2 linked regions of the Drosophila melanogaster genome follow. The protein of the gene in region 2 interacts with the protein of the main gene of each other region in a pairwise test. Each region holds a gene or a part of one and is shown on either strand. Other genes may lie near its edges.

Region 1 (3,460 bases), on a different chromosome or scaffold from region 2:
AGCCGACAACAGCCCTATCCGCAATATGGCCATCACGACGAGTCCTATCTTCCCACCTACGGAGCTGAGGTCCCAGAGCCGCAGCATGCTCATCCTAAGCCCAAGCAAGTGGATCTGGAACAGGTGTGGAGCATCAAGGAGGAGCCCAAGCACGGTAAGTGGTCCTTATTGCCACCAGATTAGGATCACAAATTAATGGCTTGTCGTTCATAGGAGAGCACTCTGGAAACCACAAAGCTACCGCCTATGCCCAGTCCCCCGAGCCAAAGAAGAACTATCAGAGCTCCAGCGCCGTGTCCTGGCGGCAGACGGTGCCGTGGGAGTACGGATCCCCATACCAGTCCGCTCCAGTTCACCACCATCAGCCATGGAACCCAGCTCCGGCCCACGTTCCCACCTCCGTTACCAAGCCCAAGCCGTGCCCCAAGAAAGAGCACCCTACTCCGGCATCCTATGTTCCTTTGCCACATGACCAGCCTGAATCCTACAAGCTTCCTGTGGATTACAGTCCCAAACCTAACCACGAGCAACCTCATAAGCCCCACCACGAGCCACAGTCTTACAATGAGGAGATCTACAAGCCACAGCCCATCCAGCCAGGAGAATCCTTCAGGATTTGGTATGGAGACAGTTCCCTCCCCCAAGGATACTAAAGGAAGATTTAACTGGGACTACCACTGTTACTGAAACTGATACAACTTTTCAAAGCATTTAACAAACTCTTTTTTTTTAATTCAGATTCATTACTTTGTACAATTTTTATGTTTTATAAATAAATAAAAAAAAAGCAAAGGAAATACATTTTTGATTATATTCCTAGCAAGTAATTAATAAATAACTTTTGAGAAAAAATGCTATAGTTTCATGGAAATCATATGCATCAACTTTTAGCATCGTATGCGAAAATATACATTCAATTTCCAAAAACTTTTCTCAAAATCTATTCAAAATATACGAAGAAATTTTTGTTATTTTGTATGTTTTGTAGGTAAATAAATTCACCTTACTATTAACCTATGCTATTGTTTGTTGATAGAAGCAAATTTTAAAAATATTTTAAGCTTTTTTAAAAGTTAATAGTAAAGGATCCAAGTTTGTTTAAATTTGCAAAAGGCATCTTGGCCAATTTTTGAATAGGCATGATAATATGAAGGATAATTAATTATACTGCTGTTTTCGAAATAGGAAACAAAATATAGACTTATTAAACTTTTACAAAATTACTTTAGTTCGCTTTATTACTTTATTTCTTGTAAACGATAGACAGTATGCCCGAAAACATTTGTTACGTTATCATTACCTTCGAAGACCTATTTTCTGAATGAATTTGAACAAGAAGCAGCTGGGGCACGTTTTTCAGTGGTGTTATTACTACCGTAGCACACAAAAAACCGGGTCAATCTGTTCTGTTTAGAAACAAAGAAGAATTTTGAAACGTGACACTACACGGATTTTCCCTAACTTTACCAAGATGTCGATGAACCAATAACTATTTAGTACGACTACATGCAACATAATTCGCTTTAGTTCTTTCTTTTTACAAGATGATAAAACAGTTGTTCGCGACTATCTTCTTAGTAGTAGGGAAATTCTCGTAAACACACTATTACAGATTGGAGCAGCATTTGCACCTGCACCCGCTGAAGAGAAGTGGGTGGTGACCGAACTGATAGAACTTAACCCAGTCTAAGACACGTTTTGGACCTTAAGTTGGGCTACTTAAGTTGCGGTTCGGATCGAAAAGAGACACTCAGCGGGGAGCGGCCATCAGAGAAACACCATGAGAGTGCGACTGACTTTGCTAACGATATGCATTTACCTATGCGCGGCTGCAGCTGAGGATCTGGACTCCATCCATGAGATCCGCAGTGAGGTGGAGGAGCTGATCAAAGGTACGGAGGAGCTAAACCATGGGCTGCAGAAAGTGAAGGACGTGCAGAAGGGCATTGAAGAGAAGTTCAAGCATCAGCGCGACGAGATCGAACTCATTGCTGGATTGGAGGTTGCCATAGCCAAGCTGGAATCGAACGTTCAAAGCAGCTTCCAAGCCACGGCCTCTGGAGTGGGAAATTTGACAGCCATTGTTAACGCAATCCAGGGTCAGAATGAAAACTCTATTAGGAATCTTACCAAAGTGGAGCTAGAAATCAGGAAAGCCCTGGAACAAGTGGCTGCCAATCAGAACAAATACGAGCAGAACCTAAATGAAGTGGCCTCATCCGTCAACTCGCATCTGTCGGAGATTCAGCAGCTGCTATCACAGGCCGTCATAGGGGAACTCATCGGCTTGGACAATAAAGCGAAGGTCCTCCAGGAGCAGCAGCGCAACATCGTGGGTCAAGTGGGATATCTGGGCGAACTTAAGGCTCTGGCAGATCGTGCCAATCGCAAAGTCAATCAATTGGAGTGGGGTCTGGTCATTCTCAACCGCACTCAGTCCGAGAGCCTCAACAGCATCGAGCACACTGTCCATGGAGTGCAGGTGGCCACCTCACAGGTCGATCATAAACTGGCTGCCCTACTGAACAATCAGAAGAACATTGAAAGGACGCTGGATGGCTGCAAGCACAAAAATCCGTCACACCAGAAGCCCCACGAGATCTGGACTCACCCGGAACACGCACCAATTTACAAGTAAGTTTGTATGCCCTACTTCTGGGTGCACACTAAAACCACTCTTTTCATTTTAAGGCCAAAACCAGAGGGCAATCAAGGATACGAGAACGTCTATGCATCCCAAGAAGAGGCTGAATACCTATACAAACTTTGGTATGGAAAGGGCCAGTAGCATTAATACGAAAACTGAAGATAGATGTTTTATGCCATATTCAGAAATTGCTTGATTTCCTATATCAAATCCCAGCATGTCGATTCTATCTATCTTATATAATTGTATATTAAACCGTTCTGTAACACAATGTAATAAACAAGAGTAAATGGAGGAAATCGAACTTTATAAGTTGTATATTGCTAAAAAGTGTTATGTCCAACTTTATATATCAATTGTTGGAAAACTTATAAAACTAGATAAATGCACCTGACATAGAGGAAACCGGCTCTACCTCTATAATTTTGTTGGATCCAATGGATGAACCTGACCATCATCCCGCTCAAACTTAATTATCAGCTGCGACTGATGCTGGTTCCAGTGCTCCGATCGATGTAATTTAGCATTCGTCTTCGAACGGAATTCCTCGACTGACAAATCGATCTCAATTTTTTCGTTACTTGCATCCGGATCGGCGGGGTAAGCATCATCTCCTGGCAAGAGATGCACTAATCCATTTGTACACTTGTGCACTACAGGATGAATCAGCTGAATGCCTTTGACCTCACGCTCTGCTGCAAACTGACGCAGGTTATCTAAAGAGGAGAAGTTTAGGCAGCGCGAAAGTTCATAGAATTGTGGAGGCGGCAGCCAGAGTTCTTTTCTTAGGCTCGCTTGAAGGTAGTCCAATGG
Region 2 (3,614 bases):
TAAACAAAAGCGTTATTGCAGCGTAGCGTGTAGAGTTCATGCCAAGGCCTAATTTTTACTAACTATTAAAGTTTATTTATTTTAAATGTTAGACGTAATGATAATTCTTTATGATCTAATCTAGTTGCTGGTAAATATTTCTTACCGCTCCCAGGACATCCAGCCCATAGGTGGCCTAAAATCGACAGAATTTCAATTAAGTGGCCTAGAATCCAATCAAAATTTAATACTCACTTTAGTGCCAGGCCATTATCGAGGCCCATGGATAATTGCAGAACCTGCAGCAGAAGAATCCCGCCCAGAAAGACGCCCCACGTTCCGTACATGGCGAGCTAGTGGCACCGACTGAATCCTGGCCTTTGGGCACCCAGGGAATTTATATTCTCCAGCGGGCGGCACTCCAGATAACTCTGTTTGGCAGGGGCACCTGAGGAGCTGGAGGTAGGGGAATGGCACCTGAAGAGCTGACAGAAGGTTAGTGGCTAATTGCTATTGCAGCGGAGTACTCCCATCGACTGATTGGTGTTCGCCGGGTGGCGCAAACAGCGGGCTTTCTCGATTGCAGGAGGAGCCGGAGCCCCTTATCACGCCAAGTTCACAGCGATCACAGGGAGCAAATAGAGAAAATCGAGGAGAGACCGAGAACAGGGGCTTTTGATTCTGATATGCTTTTGTTGTTCAATTCTGGCGCTGCTTGCCAGCTACACTGGTCAACAAAGTTGGGGAAATAGTTGGAAGCATAGTAGACTAGAGCACGGTACTAGTGATGGGAAAACATGTACTAACAAAACATAGGAACTATGGTCTTTTATTAGAAAATTTTGATCTGGTTTTTAAGAATAATTTAAAATTTCTGTTTTTGAGGATCAGATCTCAGATCTTATGAAAATCTTAAAAAGAATCTTATTACAAAAAAAAAAAAAACCGAAGGTCAAAGACAAGCTCTAATTGTTGTACCGCATTACGTTTGTACCTTAGGTAATTTTTCTAATTTTGTGGCTGGCAGCTCTGAAGAGAACCTACACAGGTACGCAGAACGAACCTTCTGATAGGAAGCACACATGTGTTTAGCTGATTTAGCAAAATGCAATTACTGAACTGAGTGCCGCTGCACTTTGGGCTTGTAATTGAATTCTTTTGACCCAAATGTTACCTTATCGCCTTTGCACTTACAGATAGCAAAAGATGACTAATTAAAGCCGGTGTTTTGTTATTGATTTTGTTTGTACGATTGACTACGTTTTCTTTCTGAGTTGGTTTTTTTATTTAAGTTGCGCGGAATGATTTGTTCCATGTACGACTAAAACTGGAGCTAAAACATAGCTCTCGACCAGTGTTGTTTGTCGATTTCGCAAGTTAGTTGATCGCTGGTTAAAAAAACGGACACAGACATAAATATATTTTAAAAGTGCAAAAAGTGATTGCAAACGTTAAAATAATATAAATGTTTTGGTTTTCAGCATGTTTTAGTAACAAAAATGTATCGTCGACTGAGCAAAGTACTTCATTTGTATTGCCAATTCAAAGAAATTTAAAATTTAATTTTGCCGCCCAATCTTCAAACTGCTAAGTGTTTTGGCTTGAAAATAGCTAGCTTGAGCTCAAATTTAGTTGATTTCCAACACCGACAACATTGCGGAACTCCAAGGAGGGGTCACACTGGTTGCTTTTGGCGTGTTTCGTTTGATTTAGATTTATATTATTCGTCTTAAGTTTAAGCATGGTATTCCAGTTGCCAACAACAACCGCCGCCCCGACCGGAGGCGCAACATCGTCGTTTTCCTTCGGCCTCAGCACAGGAACACCAGCCGCAGCACCAGCTTCAGGAGCAGCAACCACGGCTCCCGCCACAAAAACCACATTCTCTTTCGGAACACCGGCACCTACTGCTGGTATCGGTGGCGGAGATGCAGACAACAGCAAGGCGCAGGCTCCACCAGCCTTTGGATTTGGCCTGGGATCCGGGACTGCTTCAGCTCCCCTCACGCTGGGCACTCAAGCCGCCGCAAATCCAGCGTCCACCACTTCTGCGACCGCGACTGGAACCTCTGCTGCTCCTCCCGCCTTCGGAGGCTTTACGGCTCAACCAGCGGCATCTGTGGTGCCAACTATAGCAACCAGTGCACCCAACACCGCAGCTACCACAACTGGATTGCTGGGCGGGTCTGGATTGGGAGCTCCCAAGACCACGGCCGCTGCGTCCACAACTCTGACTGCAGCTCCGTCGGCCATAGCCTCCACGCAGGGAGCTGCACCGGCCCCAACTTTAAGTACTGGTGGTGCTTTTGCCAATCTCACTACCGAAACCAAGACCACAGACTCATCGGCCGTTTCCACGGCATCCCAATTGTCCTACCACCAACTTGAGGAGCATATCAACAAGTGGACTCTCGAGTTCGAGGAACAGGAAAAGGTATTCACCGAACAGGCCACTCAGATCAACGCATGGGACAAACTGCTCATCAGCAACAACGGGAAGATCGTCGAGCTCAACGATGCCGTGAAAAAAGTGAAAACCGATCAGCAAGTGCTGGACCAGGAGCTGGAGTTTATAGCCACGCAGCAAAAAGAGCTTGAGGACAGCCTGGGACCGCTTGAGAAGGAATTCGTTAATCTCCCGAGGGTGGACATGGAACGCAGCCAAACCTACCTGATGGTGGAGAATCTGGACACACAACTGAAGCAGATGTCCGAGGATCTAAAGGAGATAATAGACAACTTGAACGAGGCCAACAAGGGCCAGGACACCACTGATCCCATCATACAGATCGGAAAAATCCTTAATGCCCATATGAATTCGTTGCAGTGGATCGAATCGCAGTCGACGAACATCAGCAAGAAGCTGGAAGACATTGGCAAGATTCAAGACTCCCAGAAACGCGATATTTTCCGAGCTCCTTTCTAAAGATAAGTCCCCTTAATTTGTTAACTTAAATAAAGATGGTTCCATTGTAACCACAGAAAGAGTAATGATTTTATTTAAGAATTTATTGTAAACATCATACTGCCTTCAATTAATAACCCTTGAAGTACTTAAGCCTAAAGAGCGGCACCTGTTTGCCCTTAGTGGCAAAGGCCAGGAAGCTGCTGTGCGGCGAAAAGGCCATGGAGGTCACAAAGCCAACCTTCTCGTTCTGTGCCGGGAAATTGGAGTACACAGTGGCGCTGGGGAAATGGGCCAGCTTAAAAGCATTCGGCGCCTCACTGGAGCACATCGCCAGTAGCTCAGATGAGTGATTGAACTGGAGATCCGTGATGGCAGTCCGTAGGTTCATGAAGCGCTTCTCGGGTTGTGGGGCCTTGGATGCGAAAATGCTCTCGTAGTCGTAGATGTTGACCACGCCCTCTTGACTGCCGGTGGCCAGTAGGCGTTGGTTGGGAGACAGTTGAATGGACTCTCCATGTATACAGCCGTCGTCCATGAAGATGTGCTCGATGAGGTTCTGGCGCAGGTTCAGCACGCTGACATTGGAAGTGGAACCGCAGACGAGGATCCTCTTGGAGTCACTAGACCATGTGAATCCCTTCACTTTGCCCTCCTGCTTGAAGCTGTGCAGCAGCTCATTTGTTTTGGCCGTGAGCAGGTGAATGGCTCCAAACTTGCCAGCAGTGAC

The links.
Region 1: the proteins of Nup62 (region 2) and CG13083 interact in a two-hybrid assay, tested with the Drosophila melanogaster proteins (one large-scale study listed by BioGRID).

Annotation. Positions count from the first base shown.
Region 1 is NT_033779.5:19,485,744-19,489,203, forward strand, and holds CG13083 (uncharacterized protein), read left to right. Parts: upstream 1-1,746; 5' UTR 1,747-1,780; coding exon 1,781-2,634; intron 2,635-2,691; coding exon 2,692-2,788; 3' UTR 2,789-2,948; downstream 2,949-3,460. Other genes in the region: CG13084 (uncharacterized protein), read left to right, coding at 1-154, 214-653; CG10194 (uncharacterized protein), read right to left, coding at 3,065-3,460.
Region 2 is NT_033778.4:16,342,861-16,346,474, forward strand, and holds Nup62 (nucleoporin 62kD), read left to right. Parts: upstream 1-1,516; 5' UTR 1,517-1,720; coding exon 1,721-2,905; 3' UTR 2,906-2,968; downstream 2,969-3,614. Other genes in the region: CG7997 (uncharacterized protein), read right to left, coding at 146-175, 235-326; wcd (wicked), read right to left, coding at 3,015-3,614. UniProt on the Drosophila melanogaster protein: Essential component of the nuclear pore complex. The N-terminal is probably involved in nucleocytoplasmic transport.